2 linked regions of the Callithrix jacchus genome follow. The protein of the gene in region 1 purifies or fractionates together with the protein of each later gene. This does not show direct contact. Links are inferred from orthologs where the notes say so. Each region holds a gene or a part of one and is shown on either strand. Other genes may lie near its edges. The genes, in order: TOR1A and CANX.

Region 1 (14,894 bases):
GTCATCTCCTCAGCCACTCTGCTTACAATGTCTTCATCAATGTCATAGCCTCGGGACTGCATTTCGACTCTGATACACATTTTTAGGTGTTTGTATTCCAGGGGGAGGAAGGGAACAAAATAATCAATGAGGTTCCGGTCAATTAAGCTGCTGTGCCAGAAGCCACCTGGAAGAAAAAACAAGTGCTGTTCATCCACATCCACCCGCCCGCCCTATACATTTCTCCTGGGCTCACTCACCACCCCACCCACACACGTCTACTGGGGGTCACCCACCTACACACCCAGAATCTGAGCAGTCTCTCACAATGCTAAAAACCATTTTAAATAAAGTTATCACATGTTCAGTAAAACTTATTCACCCTTCATTGAAACAGAAACACTTGGAATTAAAACATAATTAAAAAAAAATTTTTTTTAATGTTTTAAAATTTTAAACATGTGGGACTCCCATCCGTCCCACACATGTCTCCTGGGGGTCACCCTCCCATCCATTCCACACACATCTACTGGCTGTGCCCTCTCCCTTATGAAGCTCCGGACCAATGAGGAGCAGATGTTAACAGGCACCTGCACACTGAGATGCTTCTGTGACAGAGTAGAAAGGGACACCCTCTTTTACACTGCAGCTGGGGGAGGCCTCCCAAGGTGTGACTTAGAGATCGCAGGTGGGAAAGAAGGTCATGAGCCCAGGGTCCTGGGGCCCAGGAATAAGCAGAGGTGCGGAGTGGGGAAGGCCGAGTTCCACAGAAAGCAGAAGCAGGAAGAGTTCCGGGAACGACTCTACCAGCCACACCCCCTTATTTGGGAAAATTTTGACTCTCCTGAAGTTTCAGCAGCTGGACCAGCCACAGGGTAGAAGCCTGCTGCCACTGCCACAGTGCCCAACCCCTATAGAGCATGTGGGCACCAAAACTAGCCTCGGGAGTGCTGAGCCCACACTGAGCTCCCCATGAAGGCCTGGCCTCGGCCCTGTTTTCTCCCCTGAGTGAGGACAGGCTTTGCACCTGCCCCGTCTACTACTCCTGGAGCTCCTGACCCAGGACATCCGCTCCCAGCCCCAGATGACACACACACTGCATCGTCCACCAGCCCAAGGGTGTCTTCCCGTGAGCTGTTTCCCTTCTGCTCTGCCAGGTAATTCCGGGACCCAGTCCCCAACCCAAGCTCCTCCTCAATCACCGGGTTAATGCTTTTCATGCCCAACAGTGCTTTGCACACAACCAGTGCTCAGTAAATGTGTGGCCGACTGGATAGAGTGGAGCTCGTGGCCAGGGAAAGAACAGGACCAACCACTGAACAGGAACAAGGGGCAGTCTTGCTATCGAAAGCTCACGTGCGAGGCTCGTTCTTGGAGGCCTGCTCTGTGCCAGCCATGCCCTGGGCCTGGGGACACAGCTGAGGGCAGCCAGCCCTCACGGCTTTACCACGCTAGGGCAGGAGACACCCGACAATTGTGCTAGGAAACAATCTCAGATGGTGCTGGGAGCGGCAAATGCTACACAGAACAGACATGATGGCGGGAGGCAAGGGCCAGGTGCTCCCATGAAGCCAGGCTGGGCAGGACCTCAGGGCAGTGCCTGAACGACTAGGACCCAGCTACACGGACCAGGGAGTGTCAGCAGAACAGGTGACCTCAGGCAGCCCTGAGACTTTACAAGCATCTCCTGAGGACTCCCAGGTTTGCCCTCCTAGCCTGAAGGCCTCTCTGGAGCTCCACCGCTCTGCTCTGATGTCCCAGATGCCATTGCTCACTGAGCTCATCCATCCTTCCTGCTGTCACTTCCCTTCAATAGCAGGGCCATCCTTCCCATCACTCAAGCCAGGTCCTTGGTTCTTCTCTCATTCCCATGTACAATTCTGCAGGAAGTCTTACAGGTTCTACCTTCAAAACACACCCAGAACCCGACCGTGTCTCTCCACCACCACTGCTTTCGTGCTGAGCTCCCTGCCCCTGTGACTGTGGGTCTGTCCTCCACCCAGTGGCCAGCAAGCTCCTGTGAAGACCCCGTCAGATCAGAGCACCACCTGCCTTGGACCCTGCAGCCTCTCTCTTCCACTTGGAATAAAAACCAAGGCTCACATGGCCCACAAGGCTTTCCATGGTCTATATCTCCACCCCAAATCTCAGCTCTTCTATCACCTCCTGTTCCCCTCCTGTTTATCCTGGACCACTCACAGTGACCCAAGCACAGGCCCCCTCAGACCCCTGGAAGTGCTGCTGGCTCTGGGGCATGCTTTCCCTCAGACATCCACATGGCTCATGCCCTTGGGTCAGCCCAAATGCCACCCTCAAAGGGAGCTTTTCCTGACCACTCTATTAACGTAGAGCCCATCCTTACCCTGTACCCCAATGTCTTTCTTGATTTTTTCCCCTCCTAGCCCTGAGGGGAAAGATATATATGTTTATGTGTGTCCATGTGTGATGTGTGCGTATGTATTGCACGTATATACACACATGAACACATTAAACACATAAACATATGTATCCCCCACCATCTGATACTCTCTTTTCCCTTTCTTCTCATTTCTTTCTTTCTTTTTTTTTTTCTGTCAGAGTCTTGCTGTGTAGGCAAGCTGGAGTGCAATGGCACGGTCTTGCCTCACTGCAACCTCCACCTCCCAGGTTCAAGTGATTCTCCTACCTTGGCCTCCCGAGTAGCTGTGATTACAGGCACTCGCCACCACACCCTGCTAATTTTTGTATTTTTACTAGAGACGTGGTTACACCATGTTGGCCCAGGCTGGTCTTGAACTCCTGACCTCATGATCCGCCTGCCTTGACCTCCCAAAGTGCTGGAATTACAGGCAAGAGCCACTGCACCCGGTCCATTTTCTTTCTTTCTTATCACTAGGATGTAAGATCTATAAGGGCAAGAATTTCTTTTATTTTCTTTGAGATGGAGTCTCACTCTTGTTGCCCAGGCTGCAGTGCAATGGCACAGTCTCAGGTCACTGCATCCTCTGCCTTCCAGGTTCAAGCAATTCTCCAGCCTTAGCCTCCCAAGTAGCTGGGATTACAGGCATGTGCCACCATGCCCGACTAATTTTTGTATTTTTAGTAGAGACGGGGTTTCTCCATGTTGGTCAGGCTGGTCTTGAACTCCCAACCTCCAGTGATCCACACACTTTGGCCTCCCAAAGTGCTGTGATTACAGGTGTGAGCCACTGCGCCTGGCCTAAGGGCAAGAATTTCTGTGTTTGTTCACGGCTATCCCCAGTCCTAGGTAGGATTCCTGGAACCTACCAGATGCTCCACATACGTCTGCTGAATGAGTTCAGCCATCTACCCAGGGTCACAGTCAGTCTGTGGGCCAGGGCTACGCGACTCCCAAGTCTGCACTCCGGAATGCCGTGTAACCTCCACTGCGTGGGTTCTGGGCCACTAGCCTCATCCACCTCAGCATTTCTACAGTTTCTGCGGCATGTGTGCATGCTTTTTGGCAAGCCAAGAAACTGTCCAGCATGTTACAAAATACTTGTCTTGCCTCAGTAGTATTCCACTTGCACAAATTGACATACAGTGCCCCACGCTGTTCACTAACTGTAGCATGAACTTCCTGGCAAGTCTGTTTCAAATGTGCCCTTCTGTTCTGTCATCTCCAGAACTTGAGGAGCAAAGGTGTGAACAGCCCTGTACAACCCACAAGTGTCAGCTGGTGAGTCGGCCTCCATCAAGCTGGCTTTCTACCTCCCTGGGTTCAAGGTCAAAGGTCTCATAAGATTCCCAGGCTGCCTGGCCCTGGGCAAGCTGCCATATATCTTTGAGTCTCAGTCTCTACCCTACAAGGTATGGGGAAGACTGAGTGAAATCCGCAGGCAGTGTTTCACACGGCACCCAGTACAGAGTAAGGGTCCGGCCACGATTTGGCTGTTGCTCTTGGGCAATGCAGAGAAAGGGAGTAACTAATGGGTCATCCCTCCCCTTGAGCTGCCCACGGCAGCCTTCCTTGCTCAACCACTGGCTCTTTCTTCTACGAAGAAAATCACGTAGCTGAAGAAAATGGGGGAACTGACTGGGCGTGGTGGCTCACACCTATAATCCCAGCACTTTGAGAGGCCGAGATGGGCGGATTGGGCAGATAACCTGAGGTCCGGAATTCAAGACCAGCCTGGCTAACACGGTAAAACCACGTTTCTACTAAAAATACAAAAATTAGCCAGGTCTGGTGGCAGGCGCCTGTAATACCAGCTACTTAGGAGTCTGAGGTGGAAGAATCACTTGAACCTGGGAGGTGGAAGTTGCAGTGAGCTGAGACAGCACCACTGCACTCCAGCCTGGGCAACAAGAGCTAAACTCCATCTCAAAAAGAAAAAAAGGGAGGGGGGAACTAATCTTCAAGATCTCAACGACCAACAATTTTCCTCATTACTTAAAATAGCAGGCCAGGTGTGGTAGCCCATGCCTGTAATTCCAGCACTTTGGGAGGCTGAGGCAGGAGGATCACTTGAGTCCAGGAAGTCAAGACCAGCCTGGGCAACATAGGAAGACCCCATCTCTACAAAAAGAGACGGCGGCACAAGTCTGTGGTTCCACTTACGTGGGTGGCTGAGCCTAGGATGTCAAGACTCCAGTGAGCTGAGATCACACCATTGCACTCCAGCCTGAGTGACAGAACAAGATCCTGTCTCAAAAAATAAACTGGGCGCAGTGGCTCAAGCCTGTAATCCCAGCACTTTGGGAGGCCCAGGCAGGCAGATCACCTGAGGTCAAGAGTTCAAGACCAGCATGGCCAACATGACAAAATCCATTTCTACTAAAAATATAAATATTAGCCGGGCATGGTGGTGTGCACCTGCAATCCCAGCTAAAAGGGAGACTGAGGCACAAGAATTGCTCGAACACGGAAGCTGGAGGTTTCAGTGAGCCGAGATCTTGCCACTGCACTCCAGTCTGGGCAATAGTGAAACTGTCTCCAAAAAAATAAAAATAAAATAGCACTTTTCAAACATCAGTGTTCATTAAAGTTACCTGGAGTTTGTCAACAAAGATTCCCCTCGTGAGTTCTGACTCGGAAGGGGACTGAGAATCTACATTTCTACCCAGCTCCCAGGTGATGGTGATGGTGACCCTAACGCTTTCACAATTAGGGTGCAGGATTAGGAACCAGATGGGACTGGTGGTGGACAGCCCTACTCACTGTTTTTGTTATTGAAAACCGACACAGATAAGGCGTGTTCAATGTCTTTGAGCTTGATGTCTTCCCTCTGCTTTCCACTCCTCCAGAAATCTAAAGCCACATCTGTGATCCTTTCTGCTCCAGCATTGCTGCAAAACAGTTCCAGTGGGTAAGGACGGGGTTTTCTCCCAGAGCTCAGAGGCTCAGGCTCGAGGCCCGTCCCTCATGTCCTAGCCCGGACCTTACCTGAGAAATATAAAGATGGCTTTCTGGTAGGAGACCCCATCCACCAGGTCGTAGTAGTCAAGGAAAGGCTTGATGGCATCTATGAGACCTGCATGCATCTTATCCATTTCATCGAATATGAAGATGGACCTCGCACAGGCGCTCACGTTGCCTCGAATCCACAACTGTAACTGGTCCTGAAGTAGAAGGGGAAAAGCCAACACAAAGTTCTCAGCCAGGGCCATCGGGCACCTCCTTCTGCCACTGAGAGCCACAGCTTCACTTACAGACCACTGTGCCCTCAGCACCAAGAACTTCACACGTGCAAAATCTTCTCTGTTCCTAACATCCCCGTGGAGTGGGCACTCTCATACACATTTCACAGATGAGGGAACTGAGGCACAGAGAGAGCTTACTCCACTTGCCCGACTATAAAATGAGTATATGGCAGAGCTGGGACCTGAACCCAGTCCTGCCTGACGCCAAAGCCCAACACTTTGATTCCTGCACTGCAAGACACCACATGGATGCTGAGAGCTGCTGCTCTTTTGTCACCAAAGAGGTCATGTGGGATGTCAGGAGGATACTGATCTTTATTTTAAAAGGGGGCGGGGCTGGGCGTGGTGGCTCACACCTGTAATCCCAGCACTTTGGAAGGCTGAGGCAGGCAGATCAGTTGAGGTCAGGGGTTCGAGACCAGCCTGGCCAACATGGTAAAACCCCGTCTATTAAAAATACAAAAATTAGCTGGGCATGGTGGCAGACACCTGTAATCCCGGGTACTCCGGAGACTGTGGCTTGAGAATCGCTTGAACTCAGGAGGCAGAGGTTGTAGTGAGCTGAGATCGCCGCACTGCCACTCTAGTCTGGGTGACAGAGCAAGACTCCATCTCAAAAAATAAAAATAAAAAATAAATAAAATAAATAAGGATTCACCCAGACCTGTTAAGCTCCAGCAGCCAAGGTTTTCCTACTCTGGTGACCCAATTTATACGTGGTAATAGGAAACGTACTGAGCACTCACTATGGGCATGACAATATTCTAAGGACTGTTCATATATATATATATATATATATATTTTTTTTTTTTAAAGACAGGGTTTCACCATGTTGGTCAGGCTGGTCTTGAACTCTCGACCTCAGGTGATTTGCCCGCCTTGGCCTCCAAAGTGCTTGGATTACAGGTGTGAGCCACCACGCCTGGCCCATATATATATTTTTTGAGACAGAGTCTCACTCTGTTGCCCAGGCTGGAGTGCAGTGGTGTGGTCCTGGCTCACTGCAACCTCTGCCTCCCAGGTTCAAGTGATTCTCTTCCCTCAGCCTTCTGAGTAGCTGCGATTACAGGTAGCTGCCACCACACCCAAATAATTTTTATATTTTTGTAGAGACCGGGGGGGTGGCGGGTGGGTGTTCGCCATGTTGGCCAGGCTGGTCTTGAAATCTCGACCTCAAATGATCCCCCAGCCTTGGCCTCCCAAATTGCTGGAATTACATGCGTGAGCCACCATACCTGGCCTGTTCACAAAACATATTACTGTGACCTCCTAAAACCCATCATAGTAGTTATTGTTGTGTTCCTTTTACAAATCAGGAAACTGAGGCACAAACGAGTGAAGTAACTTGCCCAAAGACACAGTTATTCTTAGTGAAACCTCAGTTCTACCATGACCAACTCATCCTGATTTATCTAGAATGGTTCCTGTTTGTTTGGGACAGGGTCTCCCTCTGTCGCCCAGACCAGAGTGCAGTGGCTCTGTGCTCACTGCAGCCTCAACCTGCCAGTTTCAAGCCATCTTCCTGCCTCAGCTCCCCAAGTAAGTGGGACTACAGGTGCGTGCCACCAAGCCTGAATAGATTTTTTGTATTTTTTTAGTAGAGATGGGGTTTTACCATGTTGCCCAAGCTGGTCTAGAACTCCTGAGCTCAAGTTTCAGCTTCCCATAGTGCTAGAATTATAGGGGTGAGCCACCACATCCATAGAACGTTCCTGTTTTAGTACAGAACCACTAGACAGTGGGTGACCCACCTGCTTACCCAGACAGAGCCACTAGATAGTGGGTGACCCACCTGCTTACCCAGACAGAAGGGAAAAATGTATCTGGGCAGTGGCTCATGCCTGTAATCCCAGCACTTTCAGAGGCTGAGACAGGCGGATCACCTGAGGTTAGGAATGTGAGACCAGCCTGACCAATATGGAGAAACCTCATCTCTACTAAAAATACAAAATTAGCCGGGTGTGGTGGTGCATCCCAGCTACTCAGGAGGCTGAAGCAGGAGAATCACTAGAACCCAGGAGGCGGAGGTTGTAGTGAGCCAAGATCGTGCCACTGCACTCCAGCCTGAGTGGTAACAAGAGAGAGGCTCTATCAAAAAAAAAAAGAGAGAGAAAAAGAAAAACGTGTCCACACTTTTCCTATGAAGAGTCCGGGATAAATAACGGATTGCGGCTGGGTGCAGTGGCTCATGCCTGTAATCCCAGCACTGTGGGAGGCCGAGGCAGGTGGATCACCTGAGGTCAGATCAGGACCAGCCTGGCCAACATGGTGAAACCCCATCTCTACTAAAAATACAAAAATTATCTGGGTGTGGTGGCAGGCGCGAGTAGTCCCAGCTACTTGGGAGGCTGAGGCAGAATAGCTTGAACCCAGGAGGCAGAGCTTTCCGTGAGCCAAGATCACGCCACTGCACTCCAACCTGAGCCACACAAGATCTCAGTCTCAAATAAAATAAAATAAAAAACTGATTGTTTTGCCCATCTTGCAGGGTCTGTTACAAGGATCTACAAGGCAACAGTTAACAACTGTTTGTAATATGCACCAGGCACATTACACACTTGACAGAGCTCCCTGGATTGTTACAAGCAACACTTTGTAAGTCAGAACCTATGTCTCAGATCAGGCAACTTTCCCAAGACTCTGGAGCTAGGAAAGTTAGGACTCAAATCCAGGTGTGTCTGCTGCCAAAGCCCAAGCTGCTAATCAGTGAGTTCAACCATAAAAGCAGTTTGTGGCTGGATGAGGTGGCTCACACCTATAATCCTGCATTCTGGGAGGCTGTGGTGAGTGGATCACTTGAGGTCAGGAGTCCAAGACCAGCCTGACCAACATGGGGAAACTCTGTCTCTACTAAAAATACAAACATTAGCTGGGTGTGGTGGTACACATCTGTAGTCACAGCTACTTGGGAGGATGAGGTAGGAGAACCACTTGAACCCAGAAGGCAGAGAATGCAGTGAGTCAAGATGGCATCACCGCACTCCAGCCTGGACAACAGAGTGAGACTCTGTCACAAAGAAAAAAAAAAGCAGTTTGGAGGCAGTAGGTTCAGCCAATTTAGGACTTGCTACATATGATTCCTCTTTGACAAAATAAATGAGATGTACCCAGGCGTGGTGGCTCACGCCTGTAATCCCAGCACTTTGGGAGGCCGAGGCGGGCAGATCACCTGAGGTCAGGAGTTTGAGGCCAGCCTAGTCAACTTGGCAAAACCCCATGTCTACTAAAAATACAAAAATTAGCTGGGTGTCGTACCACATGCCTGTAATCCCAGCTACTCAGGAGGCTGAGGTAAGAGAGTTGCTTGAACCAGGAGGTGGAGGGTGCAATGAGCTGAGATCATGCCACCGCACTCCAGCCTGGGCGACAAGAATGAAACTCCGTCTCACGCACACAAAAAGAAAACAAAAAGAAAGACAAGGAGTGAGATGTGATGATCTCTAAGATGGATCTGATCACATCCACCCCTAAAATTCCATGACCGTAGGTACTCACTGGACCTGTTTCCAGAACCCACCACAATGCAGCTTTGATGGTGTTAACTGCTCCATGCAGCCCAAACTCTCTGTAATTTCTACACCTTTCAAAGGGGAACTGAGACGTGAACCATTTCAGGACTTGTTCATTTCAACACAGAATTCCCAAATCTCATCCCACAACAAAGAGATCCCAAACCCCACGACATCCAGGAAAGGGTCCCAAACTTCCATCCTCGCCTTGTACAAGGTGATGTTTGAGGCATGTGGAAAGTGCAGTGTGGCCACAAACAGGTGGACATAGTCACTGTTGAGACCACCCTCGTAAATATTCTCCGCGATGATCTTGCTGACGAAATTTTTGCCGGTGCCCGTCCACCCATGCAGGGAGAGGGTGAGAGGTTTCTTGGGCTTTGGGTTGTTTATGAAACCAAACACAGCATTTAAGATGATTTTCTTTGCAAGATGCTGTCCAAAGAGCTTGTTGTCCAGATCCTTCTGCAGCGCTGGAAAGACAAAGGCAATCGGGAGTGGGGAAGAAAGAGTGGCAAAAGGTAGCCACATCTACAGCCCATGAGAAAGCCGGCAAAGCCGCCTAGGCGCTCTTCAAGCACCTTGCGAAACCTTAAGTACTACGGGCTGTAAGCTCCTGGCCCAGTGCGGACGGCGGTCCAGGGCCTCCCTTTGCTGGTCCTGCCTATTCTAAAGCCCTGGCCCGGCTCCTTCCCGAAAAGGGCCTCGGTGCCCATGCCACAGCCACCAGTTTGCACCCCTAACTTCTGTGCTGCTCCTCCCACCCCAAGGCAGAGCGAGGAAGGGAGGCAGTTTGGCCGCTCCTGTCGGCTCCGGAAGAGTCCTCACCATCCTTCCTGTCTCCCGTTCTGCTAGGAGGCAGAACCCCCTTCGGAGGGAGGTTACCACCGGTTCCCCCTCCTGCCCAGCGTGGCGCGAAGCAGCCCAACCTGCAGACCGGCTCCTCTGGTCACCGACTGAAGTCTGGCCCGTCTGTGGTCGTGGCCAAGGAGCCAGGCCTCATCCTGAAGGCGGGCCGCTCGGCTTCCGGGGTTCAGCCCCCGTGGACTCAGCTCTGCCCAGGCCCGGCCGTCCTGGGATTTGACCCCTATCCGGGCCGGGCCCTAGTGCCATCCCCCATCCCCCAGCCTCCATCCCCAGGTCCTGGCCTGGCCCCAGTGCCATCGCCCAGCCCCAGCCCCAGCCTCCAGCCCCCTCCCCATCCTACCCTCCCGGCTGAGGCTCCGCTTCTGGCCGCAGCACTCGGCGAAGAGGCAGTAGAGACGCGGGTAGATGTAGCCGGTGAGGACGCCGGCCAGGGCCAGTCCCAGGCTGATGGGCTCTACCGCCTGCACCACGGACGGCGCCAGCAGCAGCAGGCCCAGCGCAGCCCGGCTCAGCTTCATGCCCGGACCCGCGCCGCCCTGCGCGTTCTGGCGCCGACCGCGCACTAGTACCGCCGCCAGACTCGCGCTTCCGGTTCCTCCTGCCGCGAAGGCCATCTTTCTTCAGGGCAGCCCTCCTACCGACGCCGGCGGCCGCCATCTTTCTTCGGGACAAAGCCTTGTTTTGCTTCCGGAAGGTCTGTTCTGCACTGCCCTTGTCGGCCACGTGTTTTTGTTTGTTTGTTTAAAGTAATCGAGGTTGGCCAGGCGCGGTGGCTCAAGCCTGTAATCCCAGCACTTTGGGAGGCCGAGGCGGGTGGATCACGAGGTCAAGAGATCAAGACCATCCTGGTCAACATGGTGAAACCCCGTCTCTACTAAAAATACAAAAAATTAGCTGGGCATGCTGGCGCGTGCCTGTAATCCCAGCTACTCGGGAGGCTGAGGCAGGAGAATTGCCTGAACCCAGGAGGCGGAGGTTGCGGTGAGCCGAAATCGCGCCATTGCACTCCACCCTGGGTAACAAGAGCGAAACTCCGTCTCAAAAAAAAAAAAAAAATTAAAGTAATCGAGGTTATTTTTGCGGGCGTGGTGGCTCACGCCTGTAATCCCAGCCCTTTGGGAAGCTGAGGCGGGTGGATCCCCTGAGGTCAGGAATTCCAGACCAGCCTGACCAACATGGTGAAACCACGTCTCTACTAAAAATATAAAATTAGCCAGTGTGGTGGTGTGTACCTGTAGTTCCAGCTACTGGGGAGGCTGACACATGAGAATCGCTTGAACCTGGGAGGCGGAGGTTGCAGTAAGCTGAGATCGCACCACTGCATTCCAGCCTGGGCGACAGAGTGAGTCTCTTTCCTCCCCCCGCCAAAAAAAAGGTAATGGACTTTTTTTTTTAGAACAGATTTACAGAAAAATTGAGAAGATAGTACAGAGAGTTCCCATGTGCCACTCCTCCCTGCAATTTCTCGTTACTAAAATCTTTTTTTTTTTGAGACGGAGTTTCGCTCTTGTTTACCCAGGCTGGAGTGCAGTGGCGCGATCTTGGCTCACCGCAACCTCCGCTTCCTGGGTTCAAGCAATTCTCCTGCCTCAGCCTCCCGAGTAGCTGGGACTACAGGCTCGTGCCACCATGCCCAGCTAATTTTTGTATTTTTAGTAGAGAGAGGGTTTCACCATGTTGACCAGGATGGTCTCGATCTGTTGACCTCGTGATCCACCCGCCTCGGCCTCCCACAGTGCTGGGATTATAGGCGTGAGCCACCGCGCCCGCATACTAACATCAAATTGTTAGTGTGCAACATTTGTTACAATTAATGAAGCACTGTTATATTATTATTAACTAAAGTGTACAGTTTATTCGGATTTCCTTACTTTGACTTAATGCCTTTTTCTGCTCCAGGTTTCTGTTGAAAAGCGCGTGCTTTGAATGAAAAGACCTTCCAAACAGGCTTTGTGTGAGCAACATGGCTGTTTATTTACCTGGGTGCCGGTGGGCTAAGGCCGAAAAGGGCATTAGCAAAGAGCAGTGGGATAGGAGTTGGTTTTATAGGTTTGGGTAGTTTTTCAGGGGGGCGGCGATGTAAGTTCAGTTACAGTGGTGGGGGGTAGGGGCAAGGGAGTATACATGACCACAAGTTCAGTTACAATGGCAGGATTGGGTGAGAGGTATTTACATTATCATAAGAACAGTTAAGATGGCAGGGTTGGGTGAGGGGATCAGGGACAATGGCGAATGCAGGCTGTGGATGGGAGACTTCAGCCTATGCAAGCAGGACCCAGAGTTTCAGACTCCAGGATTGCATATGGAGACCTAGCAGTTTCCATTCAGGATACCACATTACATTTAGCTATCATGTCTTAGACTCCTGTTAGTGGCAGTGTCTCAGCCTTTTATTTTTATTTTTTATTCTGTATTGTAGTGATGTGGTCTCAGCTCACTGTAACCTCTGGCTCCCTGGTTCAAGTGATTCTCCTGCCTCAGCCTCTGAGTAGCTGGAATTATAGGCACACACCACCATGCTCGACTAATTTTTGTATTTTTAGTAGATGTGGGGTTTCACCATGTTCACCAGGCTGGTCTTGATCTCCTGACCTCATGATCCACCCACCTTGGTCTCCCAAAGGTTTGGGACTACAGGCGTGAGCCACCGTGCCCGGCCTCTGCCTTTTATTTTTGATGACCTTGATAGTTTGAGGAGTACTGGCCAAATCTTTGGTAGGCTGGCCCTCTATTGGAATCTGATGTTTTTCTCAGGATTTGACTAGCGTTATGGGGTTTTGGAAGGACAATCACAACGGTAAAATGCTATGCTCAACTTATCCTACCAAGGGAGGGTTCTTACCGTCAACATTACCTATCACTGTTGGCACTAACTTGATCACTTGACTGAGGTAGTGTTCGTCAAGTCTCCCCACTGTACACTTACTCTTCTCCCCTCCCCTCTATACTCTACTCTTTAGAAGGATGTCCCCATGTGTGGGAAGAGATGGCCAGGGCAGACCTGTGTTATTTATAGTTAAATGATTACAAGCTTGCTTTGCTTTTTATACACTGAGATTTGCACCACAGATCACATCCAAACTATGGTGCAGTAAAATAAAAGCTAGATCAAGCGGTAACAGGAGGCCTGTGGTAAAGACCATCTGAGAGCGTCCTAGAACTGCGGAACACTGCGGTGTGGCTGCAGAGCAGGAAAAACTGCTTTGGTCACACAGATCTTCCCAACATAGAGTGTGTTCAAGGATCTTGTAAAGGGAGCTTATGCAAAAGACTCTGGGAAGGAAATGCAACATCTGCTCCTAAGACTCGGGAGGGTCTTCGCAGATGGGTGCTGGTAAGGCCGGAAAGCCTTGTAAGGCAGAGACACCAGAACACCACAGGCTGTATGTTCTCACAATATGGAGCAATTCTGATTGTTCTGTGTCCACAATGGTAGGGAGATAAAATCCCCTTGATGCACTGGGTGTGGTCAAACCTTATGGCACCTTATCTGCTGCACCTCTCTTGCCAAAACACCTGGATAGACAATCGGTGGCAAAGTCTGTGTCCTTAGCATGCTGTTGAATGCTGCAGACACGTGCTCTTCCTCCAGCTGTCTTCCTCCTCAACCCCCCTCCTCACAGCCTGCAATATTAACAAGATACCTAATAAAAGCGCTTGGAGCCCCAGAGCTCGATGCCAACACAGATCACCCACGAGAGTGTGTTGGACCCCTGGACCCATGCTTTAAAATTCTATCCTGGTGTCTTTATTTCTCATTCCCTCGTCACTGCCAGGACACAGGGCACCCACGCACAGGGTCAGACTGGTTCTCAAATCACAGATGAGAGAACTGAGGCTAAGAGTGAAAAGGATCTGTCCAAGGCTACAATTAGTAAGCTGTGAGCTTACTAATCTGAGCTGGGCTCAGATCTGACTCCTGGGCCAAACCACTGTAACCACAATTTCTGCTCTAACCCCCCGGAAGTCAGCCGATCTGCTCTGTCCTCTTCCAGACCCATGTGGATGCCTCAGGAAAAATGAGGGCTTAGGTAAGAAGGTACTTGACAGTTAGCAGGTAGCAGCATGTCTACGACTTTTGAAATCAATGAGAAAACCCATCTTGGTAATTCAGCGTGACATCTGCACTACCCAAACCCTGAGCTTTGACATATTCCCTGACGTTCGTATGAGGAAACATAATACAAACAGTAAGGTTGGACTCATTTTATATTTAATAATTAAATTCTAATAGTAATAAGAAACAGAGATTTGCTTTTTCTTTTTTAATGAAAACAAGTAATTTTGTGAAAGTCAGAAAACACCAGTATCCTCATCTCATCCTAGATTTTTCTGTCAGCTGGACCCACTATAATCAATGGAGACAGCGTTTCTGACCCCATCCCAGATATGTGAAAGCAGAAGACATTATAATATCATTATACTATATATCATTATGATAATAACAAAAGCACAATCTAAAGGATATTATCACACCATGAACACAGTTTCTTCCTGACCCAGAGCGAATATTAAGAGAAAGTCAATATATTTAAAAACAAAATTTAATAATGCTCACAAGAATAGTTTGCCCTCAGGTGGAAAATTACATATTGTTTTGTTTCAAAAAGTTATAAATTTCGTGCTTGAAAAATACAGCAGGTAAGCAGAAGGACTAATAGAGGCTGTTTCCCGAACTGTCTGCTGGCAAATGAGCATGCTCTGTCCAGGAAGCCATTTCTCCCGGGAGGGATGTAGGGAGAGGAAGGCAGTATTTACAGCCCACTCCGCACAGCTCAGTACCGCCTATTCATCTTCTTGAACTTCTCATAATGATAGTCATCAGTTGCCTTCTCGTTAGCAGGACGCTTACGGTTAGGAGGGGAACCTGAGAAGGAAAGAACAGGAAAGGTGGTT
Region 2 (15,265 bases), on another chromosome or scaffold:
GTAGCTGGGATAACAGGTATCTACCACCATGCCTGGCTAGTTTTTGTATTTTTAGTAGAGACAGGCTTTCAGTACATTGACAGGCTGGTCTCAACCTCTTGACCTCAGGTAATCCACCCGCTTTGGCCTTCCAAAGTACTGGGATTACAGGCGTGAACCACAGTGCCTGGCCGTGAATTCTAAAATTTATATAGAAATACAAAGGACCTAGAAAGCCAAAGCAATCTTAAACATATTATTGGAAGATTTATACTACCAGGTATCAACAGTATTGGTGCAAGGATAAACAGACCAGGCAAAAGAACACAGAACACAGAAATAGCCACATCCATAGTCACATGATGAGCAAAGCCACACCTCCACAGTCATGTGATAAATAACACAAACACCACTGCAATTAGTGTGGGAAAGGCCAGTCTTTTCTGTGAATGGTGCTGAGTCAGTCTGGCATTTGTGTGGAAAAAAAAAACAAAACACCATAAACAAAAATTAACGTAAAGTGGAGCACAGACCTAAATATAAAGCTAAAACTATAAAACTTCTAGAATGAAACACAGGAGAAAAATCTTAGTAACTTTATGTTTGGCAAAGAGTTTGTAAATATGACACAAAAAAATCTGAAAAAGGAAAAAATGTGGTAAATTGGACATCATCAAAACTAAAACCTTTTGCCCTAAAAGGCAAGCCACAGACTGGGAGGAAATACTTTTGAAACATATCCAACAAAGGACTTTTATCTAGCATTTAATAACTGCAGGCTGTGTACAGTGGCTCACGCTTATAATCCCAGCACTTTGGGAGGCTGAGGCAGGCGAATTACCTGAGGTCAGGAGTTCAAGACCAGTCTGACCAACATGGTGAAACCCCATCCATCTCTAATAAAACACAAAATTAAGGCCGGGCGCAGTGGCTCAAGCCTGTAATCCCAGCACTTTGGGAGGCTGAGGCGGGTGGATCACAAGGTCAAGAGATCGAGACCATCCTGGTCAACATGGTGAAACCCCGTCTCTACTAAAGATACAAAAAATTAGCTGGGCATGGTGGCACGTGCCTGTAATCCCAGCTACTCGGGAGGCTGAGGCAGGAGAATTGCCTGAACCCAGGAGGCGGAGGTTGCGGTGAGCCGAGATTGCGCCATTGCACTCCAGCCTGGGTAACAAGAGTGAAACTCCGTCTCAAAAAAAAAAAAACCACACAAAATTAGCCAGGCATGGTGGCGCACGCCTATAATCCCTGCTACTTGAGAGGCTGAGGCAGAATTGCTTGAACCCAGGAGGTGGAGTTTGCAGTGAGCTGAAATCACAACATTGCACTCCAGCTTGAGCAGCAAAAGCAAAACTCCATCTCAAAAAATAAGAAAACAAATTTATTAAGAATCTGCTTGCTGTTAAAAAAAAATTTTTTTTTCTTTTTTTCTGAGACAGAGTCTCGCTCTGTCACCCACACTGGAGTGCAGTGGCACAATCTTTCTATTTTTTTAAGTAGAGACGGGGTTTCACCATGTTGTCCAATCTGGTCCCAAACTCCTGACCTTGTGATATGTCCGCTTCGGCCTCCCCAAGTGCTGGGATTACAGGCGTGAGCCACTACGTCCAGCCTGCTGTTAAAAATTTAAAACAACAAAACCCCTACAATTTAGACACGCTACCGTAATGGCTAAAATTAAAAAGGCTTACTAGCTGGGCTCTGTGGCTCCTGCCTGTAATCCTAGCACTTTGGGTAGCCCTGGTGGGAGGATCGCTTGAACCCAGGAGTTTGAGACCAGCCTGGGCACCTCAGTGAGACCCTGTCTCAAAAACACCACCAATACTTTTAATTAAGCAAATTTTTTTAAAAAACAATGTTTACCAAACCAAGTGTTGGCGAGGATACGGAAAAACAGAAACTTTCACTCACTGTTGGTGGGGATGCAGTGCAACCATTTTGGAAAAAGTTTGGCAGATTCATAAAAAGGTAAACAAGCACCTGCCATATGGCCCAGCCATTCTACTCCTAGGCATTTACTCAAGAGAAATGAAAGCATGTGTCCAGGCAAAGACAACAGAAATGTTCAGGGCAGTTTTATTTGCAATAGCTCCAAAACTGGAAACAACCCAAATGTGCATCAACAGCTGAATGGAAAAACACATTGTGTGGTGTTTCCATACAATGAAATACTATTCAGCAATAAAAAGCAAAGAATTGTTAATAAATACAACAACAGGGATAAATCTTAAAATAATTATGCTGCAAGAAGCCAATGTCAAAAAAATACATGCTGAGGCAGGCACAGTGGCTCATGCCTGTAATCCCAGCACTTTGGGAGGCCAAGGTGGGCAGATCACTTGAAGCCAGGAGTTCAGGATCAGCCCAGCCAACATGGTAAAACCCTTTCTCTACTAAAAATACAAAAAATAGCCCAGTGTGGTGGCAGGCACCTGTAATCCCAGCTACTTGGGAGGCTGAGGCAGGAGAATCACTTTCCCCCGGGAGGGCGGAGGCTGCAGTTAGCAGAGATCCCATCACTGCACTCCAGCCTGGGCAACAAATCAAGACTCTGTCCAAAAAATAAATAAATAAATAAATACACACACACACGCACGCGCACACACACACATATATACACATATAAATAGAAAATGCAAATTAGTATGTAGTGATGGGAACAGAGGAAACTTCTAGAGGTAATGGATAACTCCAGATGGATAACTTCATTATCTCGATTTTGGGAATGATTTCACATAACAAATGATCAAAACACTTCACATTATTCATTAGAAATATATGTAGTTGATTATGTCAATTATACCTCAATAAAACTATTACAGAAATTTCCTAGGAGGTGGCACTATCACTGGGCTCTGCTCCAGCTTTTGAGCTCTCCTGGAGCTGGGTCTGTCCCCTGCAGTCAAGTGGGTGGGCTTAGCAGGTAAGACAGATTTCATTTCCTTCCACTGTCTGCACACATGGCACTTGTCCTTCAAACATGCCCAGCTACTTGCTTCCTGAACCCCGAAGTCTTCAAGGGACTGGGGTCTCCTCATTGTTCAGGTTTTAGCATGAACGTCAAGGGCCTTCACTGAGCACAATGACTAAATTAGTTCCTACCCTCACCCTGTCCCCAAATCACTTTCTGTATTTCAATTTTGTTTTCTTCACTGTACATATCAGAACTAGTCTTTGTGTGTGTGTGTGTGTGTGTGTGTGTGTGTGTGTGTTTTGAGATGGAATCTCACTGCTATCCAGGCTGGAGTGCAGTGATGTGATCTTGGCTGACAACAACCTCTACCTCCTGGGTTCAAGTGATTCTCCTGCCTCAGCCTCCTGAGTGGCGGGGACTACAGGTGCATGCCACCACACCTGGCTAATTTTTTGTATTTTTAGTAAAGACAGGGTTTCAGTGTTAGCCAGGATAGTCTCTATCTCCTGACCTTGTGATCTGCCCACCTTAGCCTCCCAGTGCTGGGATTACAGGCGTGAGCCACCATGCCTGGCCTAGGCATTCTTACTCATTTAGTCATTCCTTTTTTTGGGTTGGGGGGATGAAGTTTCACTCTTGTTGCCCTTACAAAATGCTGGAATTTACAGGTGTGAAACACGGTGCCCGGCACTTTTTTTTTTTTTTGAATTTTTTAATACAGGGTATCTATCACCTATGCTGGAGTGCAGTGGCACAATGACTGCTCACTGCAGCTTCAACCTCTTGAGCTCAGGTGATGCTCCCACCTCAGACTCTTGAGTAGCTGGGACTACAGACGCATGCCACCATGCCCAGCTAATAGTTTTTTTGTAGAGGTGGAGTTTTGCCATGTTGGCCAGTCTGCCCTTTCATTTTCATCTATTCTTATTCCTTTTTTTATTTTGAGACAGAATTTTGCTCTTTTTGTCCAGGATGGAGTGCAATGGCGCAATCTCGGCTCACTGCAACCTCTGCCTCCCAGCCTGAAGGGATTCTCCTGCCTCAGCCTCCTGAGTAGCTGGGACTACAGGCCCATGCCACCACGCCTGGCTAATTTTGTATTTGTAGCTTTACTAGAGATAGGGTTTCACCATGTTGGCCAGGCTGGTCTCCAACTCCTGACCTCAGGTGATCCACCCATCTTGGCCTCCCAAAGTGCTAAGATTACACGTGTGAGCCACACTGCACCTTGCCATCATCTATTCTATTATCTTCCTCCCTGCTCAGTTGGTGCTCCACCAAAATTCCTATCACTGGTGGTGCACTCATCCCATAGGTGCTCTAGGTGCTGCCTGGTAACTCTTAGCTGCCCCTGCCATAACTAACATGTAGAAGGATACAAAAGACTGGCTCCCTTGCCTTAAGGAGGCCTAAGTGTGATGCCATTTGTGCTCACAGTTCTCCATGACAGCAAGCGGAAGCTAGTCTCTATGTGAGACCACACTCTGCCTCAGCCTTAGCCTTTTTCCCTGCCCTGTCTTGCTTCCCTCACCCTCTTCTCCTGAGAGCACTTCCCCAATAATTCACTCGAGCAAGAATGATCATCTTAGGCTCTGCTTCTAGGGAACCTGACCCATGACACCCTCTGTTAGCTTCCTCAGAAACTATCTTATTGGTTCCTCTAGAACAAATTCCTGTCTTGGACTCTGCTTATGACCACCCCCTTCATTCCCCTGCCAAGGATGACAGCTTAATGAGGGCAATATCTTCTTCACTTCCCTAGAATTGTTCCTAGAAAACAGTACGTGATGAATGATGCACTGAATGCATGCAGCAGAGAGCCCTGGGTCTGTCTGACAGCTCAGCATTCAGCAACCCTTCTGACCTGGGATAGCCTGGCCTGGAGGCATTGTGAGTCATAGCAGGTAGACACTAGCTGAGTGGGTCAGAGACGGAGCCAGGCCTGGGACAGGAGCTCAGCAACTCCACCACATCTTCCAGGTGAGGCACAACATACAGTGAGAACTAATGGGGAAGGGTCCTCTGACAAGATGCAATCTCAAGGGTGGGCCTAGATGTGGACTTCCAGAGACCATCTCCCTAAACCACATCTTGGGGATGGCATGTACCATCCAGCCTCTGCCCAGCTATACGTGAGGGATAAGTGTGTTATGAATTAACGAAGGTATAAGAGGGAAGCCTGCTCAAATTCTTTTTCTTCTCACTGTCCATGGGCAGAAGAGAAATTAAAAACAACATATAACTCCTTGGCCAGGTGTGTTGGCTCATGCCTGTAATCCTAGCACTTTGAGAGACCAAGGCGGGCAGATCACAAAGTTAGATTGAGACCATCCTGGCTAACACTGTGAAACCTCATCTCTACTAAAAATACAAAAAATTAGCCAGGCGTGGTGGCATGTGCAGGTAGTCCCAGCTACTAGGGAGGCTGAAGTAGGAGAATTGCTTGAACCCGGGAGGTAGAGGTGGCAGTGAGCTGAGATCATGCCACTGCACTCCAACCTGGGCTACAGAGCGAGACTCCATCACAAAAACAAACAAACAAAAACACATAGCTCCCTTTTTCACATAATAGAATCAGCACTTACTGGGCAGGGGAGTACAGGGAGAAGTGAGCAAAATGGGACTTGTCTGTTATCTGGACTTTGGATTCCCTTAGGACATAATATGTTTGGAACAAAAGTCATGTCTAGTGTGCACAATCTGTCATGTCTGTTACTTTGAGCCCTATGCATAGCTCTAGCCCATGGCACACACCCTAGGATGTCAGTGAACACACTGGACCGTGGTCTACACAGGCATCTGTCTTCCAAGCTGGATCAGGAGCATCTTGAGGGCAGGCAGAGGCTGTTTCAGGTCCTCCTTCCAAGACCAGGACCTGGCACAGAGAATATGCTAGTTGACTGAATGATGAGGGCAATCATGCTGTTGGCTATGCTAGACACCCTCCCAGATTGTTTCCAGAATCCAGATCTAACCCTAGCTTTGTAAGCCTTCAGCAGTTCCCTCTTACACACAAAAAGAAGTATAAGCTTCTGAGCCTGCCTGTGCAGCACCCTCACATAGTGCCCCGGTCCACCTTCCCAGCTTCCTCTTCTGCTCTTCTCAGCACCAATCCTATCCAAGCTCGTGTTCACATCTGAAACATGAAAGTCCTGTCGGGTGCGGTGGCTCACACCTGTAATCCCAGCACTTTGGGAGGGAGAGGTGGGCGGATCACCTGAGGTCAGGAGTTCGAGACCAGCCTGGCAAACATGGTGAAACCCCATCTCTACTAAAAATACCAAAAAAATTAGCCAGGCATGGTGGCGGGTGCCTGTAATCCCAGCTACTCTGGAGGCTGGGGCAGGAGAATTGTTTGAACCTGGGAGGCAGAGGTTGCAGTGAGCAGAGACCGTGCCATTGCACTCCAGCCAGGACAACAAGAGCGAAACTACGTCTATAAAAACAAAAACAAACAAATAAACAAACAACCCTGCTTGGCTCTTCCCTCTGCCTTTCTGCTCTCCATTTTCCATCCTCAGCTCACCTGGCAAAGTCCTACTCCTTTCAATACCTACTTGTCTCTGCTACCATTCCCTACCCCTCACCCTTCCAGCTGAAACTAAGAGAACAGGGCGCTCCTAGCGTCCTTCATCTGCATATTTATCCCAGCGCCTGATACTCAGTGGTCTTTGGGTAAGGTGATTTAGGTGAGACGGCTGCCTGTGCAGCGTGGAGGGACGGGCTCCTCGGTGGCCAGCACCTGGTTAGCCACAGCCGCAACCCTAGCTGCAGGGCTAAGCCATGTCCACCGGCCTCGAGGTTTGATAGGCAGCCTGTATTGAGCAAGCTGCTCACTCATACTCTTGCCTCCCAGCAGCCCCTCTGGCTCGCCTTCATCATTCTGGACATCCAGGTTCCCGAGGCAAGAGCGCAGCCAGTGCTGGGGAGTCGCCAGCACTCCCGAGGCTCCCCTCCTAGCACCTGCGTGCCCTACAAGGTCCACCCAGCACTCGCCATGGCAACCTTCGAGTGCCTGACTACGAGCCATGCCAGCCACGTGTGGGAGCAGCTGCGGCAGTTTTGGGCCGATCACATCTCGCGGCGCTTCTCGCCACGGCGGCCGCCAGCGCGCCGCATCTCCTCCCTGTCCACCTCCTACCTGCTGGATTACAGCAAGCGCCAGGCCGAGCTGGGCCTCTGCTACGGCGCGCCGCGCATACGCCTCGAAAACCAGGCCTTCGAGTTCCGCGGCGGCCGGTGGACAACGGAGGGTCACTTGGCGCCGACCGTCTCGGGCTGGAAGGCGCAGGAGCAGTGGACCACGATCCAGGTGTTGCTGAAGGAGAGCAACTACCTGAAGCTGCAGCAGGAAGTGCTCATGAATATGCTGACTGAGACCACGGCGCGCATGCACCTGCTGGAAAAGCAGCTCAACCTCGAGGTGACTCCGGCTGCTGCAGCGCACGCCCGACAGAGGAAGATGCGCAAGCGCGCAGGCGCCAGCGGGGACGTGCTCAGGATCCAGCCTTGAGTTCTGGACTCGCAGTGACGTAATAAAGCCCGCGCTGCGCATGCGCGCCTCGTTCCTTGTGACTAACCCTGACCCGCCAGGGACTGTGGCGGTTTCTGTTCCCTGGGCGAGGTTTTGCGTGCGGGCGGGGGCGGTCTGCGTGGCCTCGGGGACTGCCCCTCGGTGCTGGGTGTCGGCGGGGGACGCAACCCTAAGCAACGCATCTCGGGAGGGTGCGATGGGGCCGTGGAGGAGGGTCTGCGCGTGACTTCGGGAGCGCGGGCTGGAAGCCAGGCTTGCCTCGGGCAGGGCCCAGACAGGGTGGAGTGGCAGGTAATGGCCTTGCAAGCCATACAAGTAACCGAGGGCGAAGTCCCGCAGGCGGAGGAACCGTGGCGCTCAGGGAATAGAGGGTGCGGTGCGGCAGGAGCTGAGAACAGTGTGGGGGGGCTTTGCACTTGGTCGGTCCTCTGGGCCTCTAGGATCAGGAGGTTTAGAAACTAGGAGTCCTAGGGTAAGTGTATTTTACATTCCCAAGAGAAGCTTTCTCGAAACCTTGGGTTGTGCGGTCCCCACTTGCCGGTGTGGCATTTTGGAGAGTTGCGTCTCTGTTACAGGCCTCCTTTTTTTTTTTTTTTTTTTTCCCTAAACACTGGGTCTGGCTCTGTCACCCAGGCTGGAGTGCAGTGGCGCGATCATGGCTCACTGCAACCTAGACCTTCCGGGCTCAAGCAGTCCTCCCACCTCAGCCTCCCATACTGGTGGGATTACAGGCGTAAACCACCGCGCCCAGCACAGGCCTCCTTTTATGCTTCCATAGAATGCGGTCTTCTCTACCCACAATCTTAAAAATTGCATTTGTTGCCAAGGTTTCAGAATTTGGAGATAACACATTAAAAATCCAGATTTATTGGGGCCGGTCGTGGTGGCTCACGGCTGTAATCCCAGCACTTTGGGAGGCCCAGGCAGGCTGATCACTTGAGGTCAGGAGTTCAAGACCAGCCTGGCCAACAAGCTGAAACCTCCTCTTTACTAAAAATACCAAAAGTTGGCTGAGAGCCGTGTCGGGTGCCAGTAATACTAGCACTTTGGGAGACAGGCGGGTGGATTACCAGAGCTCAGGAGTTCGAGACCAACCTGGACAACACGGTGAAACCCCATCTCTACCAAAATACAAAAAAACTAGCTGGGTGTGATGGCAGGCACCTGTAATCCCAGCTACTCGTGAGGCTGAGGCAGGAGAATTGCTTGAACTCAGGAGGTGGAGGTTACAGTGAGCCGACATCACGCCACTGCACCCCAACCTGGGTAACAAAATGAGACCCTATCTCAAAAAAAAAAAAATCCAGAATTGCCAAGCATGCTGGCACACACCTGAAGTCCCAGCTACTCAAGAAGCTGAGGTGAGAGGGTCCCTTTAAGCCCAGGAGCTTGAGGTCAGCCTAGGCAACCTAATGAGAACCTCTTAAAAAAAAAATTCCAGAATAGGCAAGTTCATAGAAACAGCTTAAGTTACCAAGGGGTGGGAGGAGGGAGTTTGTGTGTGTGTGTTGGGGGGAAACACAATGGGGCTTCCTTTTGGTATGAGGAGAAATTAGAACTCTGGTGGTGATAGTTGCACAACATCATAATAAAGGTCACTGAATGGTATACTTCAAAACGAATTTTATGTGAATTTTATCACAAATAAGTAAAAGGAGGAAGACACTTTACATAAAAAAGTAAAGAAAAACTTAAATGTAGAATGCCAAAATAGCAAAACTCATAAAGGTGATCCAGGAATGCTTAAGTTTAGCGAATATTGCTTTGGCCAGACTACCTGAAAACAAATACAGTCCTAGGGCAGAGAAAGGTACCTGTCCCACCAAACCTGCAGCAGGCAGGAAGCCCCACAGCCCAGTGCAGGTCCTGTTTAGAAAGAGGCATCCAAGTGGATCAAGGACCTGAACTAAATGGATCAGGATGACATTTTTTAATATCTGACTTTGTTCTTCCTGCTCTGGAATTTCACACCCTGGTCCTGAGCCCTGCTTGGGAACAGCCAAATTCATTGGCCCAGGAGATGAAAGTGACAGAGTAGAAAGCAGGAACAAAGGACCCTGGCTTTTACCTCCTACAGCTCAGAATCCTCTGGGGAATAGAGCTATGTAGGTCAAAAAGGTTGTGTAGGTTTGTCAAGCAAGAGGCGAGATGAGGGCTGGCTGTGGTGGCTCACACCTGTAATCCCAGCACTTTGGGAAGCTGAGGCTGGCAGATCACCTGATGTCAGGAGTTTTAGACCAGCCTGGCCAACATGGTGAAGCACTGCCTCTACTAAAAATACAAAAATAGCTGGGTGTGCTGGTACGAGACTTTAATCCTAGCTATGTGGGAGGCTGAGGTAGGAAGATTTCTTTAACCTGGGAGACACAGGTTGCAGTGATCTGAGATCACGCCACTGCATTGCAGCTTGGGTGACAGTGCAAGACTCAGTCTCAAAAAGAAAAAAAAAAGATGAAGCAGGAGTAAGGATCTCATTGGGTCTTCTATCTTGGAAAAAAAATCTTGTCTTCCTCATGCCTGTAATCCCTGCACTTTCAGAGGCTAAGGTGGGAGGATCTCTTGAGCCCAGGAGTGTGAGACCAGCCGGAGCAACATGGTAAAACCCCATTTTCATGAAAAATAAAAGATAAGTCACCATAAATAAGCCAAAATAAAAATTTAGCCACCATGACCAGCTAATATTATATGTGTGTGTATATTTTTTTAGTAGGGATGAAGTCTCACTGTGTTGTCCAGGCCGGTCTCCAATTCCTGGGCTCAAATGATCCTCCTGTCTTGGCCTCTCAAAGTGCTGGGATTACAGGTGTGAGCCACCATGCCTGGACATTAACACATATGTGAAAATATGTACAGAATATAAACTACTAAAATAAAAATACTATGTCTTACTATAACTTACTGTACCATGGATTTTTTTTTAAAAACTAAGGTAAAAGTCATTAAGAAAATAATACAAAGCATAAAACATCTGTCAAAATTATGAAAATTCCAGAATAATTGGACAAAAATTAAAAAAAACTAAAACAATTGAAAAATTACTTAAGGAATAAAATGTAAGCTACAATGACAGCTTCTGTCTTACAAAAAAAAGTAAGAATTTTGTTTTGTTTTGAGCCGGAGTCTTGCTCTGTTACCAGGCTGGAGTGCAGTGGCACAACCTCAGCTCACTGCAGTCTCCGCTTCCTGGATTCAAGCAGTTCTCCTTACTCAGCCTCCCGCGTAGCTGGGAATACAGTCGCCTGCCCACAACAGGATTTCACCATGTTGGCCAGGATGATCTCAATCTCTTGACCTAGTGATCCGCCCTCCTTGGCCTCCCAAAGTGCTGGGATTACAGGCATGAGCCACTGCGCCTAGCCTAAAGTAAGAATTTTTTTTTTTGTTTTTGTTTTTGAGATGGAGTTTCGCTGTTGTTACCCATACTGGAGTGCAATGGCACAATCTCGGCTCACCGCAACCTCCGTCTTCTGGGTTCAAGCAGTTCTCCTGCCTCAGCCTCCCGAGTAGCTGGGACTACAGGCGCGCACCACTATGCCCAGCTAATTTTTGTATTTTTAGTAGAGATGGGGTTTCACCTCTCTCTACTAAAAACACAAGAGATCAAGGATGGTCTTGATCTCTTGACCTCGTGATCCACCCGCCTCGGCCTCCCAAAGTGCTGGGGTTATAGGCGTGAGCCACCGCGCCCGGCCAAGAATATTTTTTTAAAAATTAAACAATATAAAAGTCCAGAAAGTGTATGTAGCACAGTCCCTAAAACTCTCACTATCCAGATGGTCGCTGGGCCAGGGTGAGGTCTTGTGTCCAGGTCCTTCCAGATATTCAAAAAATCTGCAACACAGAGGTTCAAAGGTCACTGGGGAGCATAGAGGAGGAAGGAGGAGGAGCTCTCTGGGGTGGGTGTGCAGGTCTCAGAGGGCTCCTCAGGCCCTGGAAGGTGACCTTGGGGCCCTGGCCTCCCCAGAGTCTGTCCACAGGGCTCTGGCCTGGGTGCTGCTCTCTGTGAGGGGGTTGCCTGTGCTCAGAGTGTCTATAAATGTCCTGTAGGAGGCACTGAGCTCAGGCACACACGTGGGCATCTTTAGGGGGCTGGACACCCAGATACTGAAACAGATGCAGAGGGAGGCGGAGGCTCAAAGATCAACAGGCAGAGTCCCATCCCTTCGGGCCCTGGGAGGAGCAGGAGGTCTGATGACACAGGGCAGGGTGGTGACCTGCCCTCCCCCTGGACCCTCCATGCCATCCAGATGGAAGAACTGCACGTTAAATGTGTGCAGCTTCCTGGAGCATGTCATCGTTACGGCCTAAGAATACTTGGTCCTTCCAACACCCCACCAACCCTGTCTGTGCATTTTCATTCAGGAAATCATTATGCTTTGGCAAAACACACATTTCCCACGTAATACATTCCAGCATAAAAGGATTACAGAAAACACTACGTTTTAAAGTATTTATATATAATACAGACAAACACACATTTGTATGTATATGTAAATTTCGAATAGGAAAATACATTTAAAACAGTGGCTCCCTGAATCGTGCCCCTTAACTTCTCCCAAGTGACCACAGCCCTGACTTGTCTTCCAGGGTTTCTTTTGTTGGCATCGGACACAGACACAGAACTATCGATGCCCAAGCCAGTGCTCTCTACACACAGAAGTCTCCAACCTCATGTTGAGAAATGGGGCCAGGAGGCCACCCCAGGCCCCAGGGCTCCATGGAGGCTGAGGAGCTGCTGGGACTGGGCACACCCCAGGGGGTCCTGGATCCTGGCTTTTCCCCTATTTGACACCAGGATCTACTGAGTGCCCGCGGGTGTGCAGTGCTGGGCTGGGTGGGCTGCTTGCCAGCATGGCAAAGCCCGGGGGTGCCTCCCTCCCTCTCACACCTTTCCCAGGAGGCATGAAACGTGGGGGTTCATGGTCAGCCCCAATGTCTGCTCATGACAAACTGGTGATGCTCCCTATTGGCTTCAGGAGGCTGGGAGGGCAGAGCTGGGTCCCCTCAAATGAGCTTCAGTGGCACTGCAGACAAGAACATGGTGTGTGGCCTCAGAATCCTGCATGTAGTAGCTGGACCAGCACCTCAGCCTATCTCTCATTAGAGCAGCCTGTGGAGGGCTCAGCCTAGCAGGCTCACAGGCTGCTATGGAGAGGGTGTGTTCCCTGGAGGATGTTCTCTGGGCATCCTTCACCTGCCTGTAGGGATTTCCAGCATAACAAACAAAGGTCACATCAGGTCAGGTGAGGCTCGTCAGCATCCTCATCCTCCTTGAACCTGTTGAGGGTCCTGATGGGATAGCAGGAGAGTGGGGCAGACATGGGGGCACAGGCACTGTCTGCCTTCCCCTGGTCATGCCACCTCTGCACACTCACATTTCTTCTACCTGTTCAGGCTTTGTCTCTTGCTTTTTCCACAGGTGCCAGGAGAGGACTTGTTGGCATCTGAGAGGAAGAAAACAACTGTGCATGTCCAGAGTCCCCATTGCAGCTTTGGGGGGTGGTCCCCAGAGCAGACCCATATGTCACTGGGAACCCTCCGGTAGGGTGGGGCGAAGCTCTTCTGACCCCAGCCCTACTTCCAGCCTGAACCCTGTGGGGTTGCTCAACAGGATTCAACGCTGCAGCCTGGGGGCCAGGAATCAGGCCACGACCAAGACCGTGGGCAGGAGGGCTGCAGAGGGACTTTACAGGCACTGAAGACCCAGAGCATTGACTGCCATGATGAGACCAAGTCCCTCAGGACAATGATAACAGAAGGGAAGAGGGAGAGAGCCAGAGCTAGAAGAGCTCATGAGTCAGAGGGTGAGAGGGAGGAAGAAGATAATTACATGCTGATGGTCGTCTGCACTCTTGGACTCTTCCATATCTGCTCCAGCAGCTTCAGGGTGTTGGGAGCAGCAGCGGTGATGGGGCAGCCATAAAAGGAAAGGGGAGAGTGAGACTTGAGGAGGCACTCGGCTCCTGCTGTCCTGGGGCTGTGGAGCCAACCCCACAGGCTCCGGTGTGCTCATCTCTAGAGCCTTCTCCGCAGCCTGGATCACTTCCTACAGCGAGGGAGGAGCCTCTGTCTTCCCACATACTTTCCAAGCCCTCACATCCTGTAACTGTGCCCAGGCAGGGAAGGCCAAGGCCGTGTCATCCCTTTCCTCCAAGAGGCGGCCACCATCTCCAGGATGTTGTGCACAGTATGTGGTTCCCTCCCTCCTCTTCCTCGAGGGCCTGTCTCTGCTCTTTTGATGAATCCCATGTCTTTTCTTCCTGTCAATCACCAATCCTGCTGCTCTCCAACAAAAAAACAGGAGGGAAGGGCCGGGCTGCACTGCCAGGCCCTCCATAAACCCATGGGTTGCATCCTAGGTTGGCAGCACCTGCCACAGGCCTGGGGCTCAGTTGGGGCCTGTGGGACAGGGTGACAACAGATGTCACAGATTGAGTGACTGTTGTATGCCTGGGATGACCTTAGGGACCTGGAAAATACTCACCCTCACAAGAATCCCACAAACACTAAGCTTCTGAAAGCTTAGAAACACTGTAACGGGACTCTAGGGAAAGCCCCTTATCCCACTGCCTTAATCCTCAGGTGAGGCTGCGGTTCTCAGCACGTGAATGAACAGGCACTGCCAGGTTTTGCCTGAGCTGTGGGAGGACTGGGTGGGAGGGCACCTGGCAGGCCTGACACAGGGAACAAGCTGGGCCTGACTGCAGCATGGGGTGCAGGACAAGGCTGTCAGGCCAGAGCGGAGGGTGTGACAAGACAAGTGACCCCTGTGCCAGCTGCCCAGCAGCTCTGTCCAGGGCCCAGTGGATTCCAGGAACCAGGTTATAAGGAGAGTAAGAGCCACTGCCCACAGCAACACAGCAGCCACTTCACACACACACCCTAGGATTCCTGCTGGACACGAAGAGCCTTGGTGACAGCTGGACACTGAATTCTCAAAACCAGCTTCCATTCCTTGCCCAAGGATTTGGGACTGGGTGAGAAGTGGAGGCCAGAACCATGCTCCAGCATGGGATCCCCCCCTCTTGGGTCTCTAGGATGGGGGCACACTGAGTAATCCCAAAGGAGGATTCTCTACTTCAGGAGACCCAGGGAGTGCCCTGTGACCAGGAGCAGATGCTGAGGGCTGGACAGGAAGGTGCTGCTGCAGGTCCCCAGAGTGCAGAGGGAGAGGGTGGGCTCCTGGCACACAAGTGAAGGACTTTGTGTCCAGGGTCACATGGCACCTGTGAGGGGCTGTGTCCCTCCTCACTTCTTGCACAGCATTAAATGCCACACCAGCATACTCCTCTCATTCTCCATTCACAAAGGTTGATATCCACCCACCCAAAACCCAGGGCTTTGATGTTTGCTCTGGCACAGGCAGGAAAGATCTGGCCTTCTGGAAAAGGTCATCTTGCTCACAAGGGAAGGAATCATGGGGATGAGCAGAGCACACACGACACCCATGGAAACAAAACTCCTTCCATTTCTCATTAACAAGCAGAAAGAACAAACCACACCTCTACACCTATTTCCTTTTATATTTACTAACTTCGCAGCTCCCAGCTGAGGTGCAGAAACCACAGGTGTAACCCAACTGTCCCCAAGAACCCTGTGCCACAGCCCCACCTGGAGTATCTCTGCTACTGGCAGAGTTTTTGTCATCACTGGTTTCAGGAAAGCTGTCCTCAGAGCTACCTACAGAGACACAAACATCAGAGAAAGGTGACTTCAGAGTGACTCGAACAGCACTCCTGCTCCACGAAAAGCAACACTGGATGACACCAGGTGACCTGCTCCATCCTCTGTGATCTCAGACTCTCCCTGGGCTCTGTGGACTCAGCTGGGAG

Evidence for each region.
Region 2: the proteins of TOR1A (region 1) and CANX purify together in Homo sapiens (affinity purification with mass spectrometry; 4 studies listed by BioGRID and IntAct, counting the BioPlex papers as one, with this or other methods). This does not show direct contact. The link is inferred for Callithrix jacchus from reciprocal best matches to the Homo sapiens genes TOR1A and CANX.

The regions. Positions count from the first base shown.
Region 1 is NC_133502.1:178,408,635-178,423,528, forward strand, and holds the start of TOR1A (torsin-1A), read right to left. Parts: upstream 10,581-14,894; 5' UTR 10,517-10,580; coding exon 10,339-10,516; intron 9,605-10,338; coding exon 9,339-9,604; intron 5,542-9,338; coding exon 5,366-5,541; intron 5,269-5,365; coding exon 5,141-5,268; intron 167-5,140; coding exon 1-166. Other genes in the region: C1H9orf78 (splicing factor C9orf78 homolog), read right to left, coding at 14,774-14,865. UniProt on the Homo sapiens protein: Protein with chaperone functions important for the control of protein folding, processing, stability and localization as well as for the reduction of misfolded protein aggregates.
Region 2 is NC_133503.1:71,969,082-71,984,346, forward strand, and holds the start of CANX (calnexin), read right to left. Parts: upstream 6,756-15,265; intron 6,701-6,755; coding exon of another isoform or gene 6,683-6,700; intron 5,775-6,682; 5' UTR 5,654-5,774; intron 1-5,653. Other genes in the region: CBY3 (sperm annulus positionning complex subunit Chibby3), read left to right, coding at 6,683-6,700, 6,756-7,412. UniProt on the Homo sapiens protein: Calcium-binding protein that interacts with newly synthesized monoglucosylated glycoproteins in the endoplasmic reticulum. It may act in assisting protein assembly and/or in the retention within the ER of unassembled protein subunits.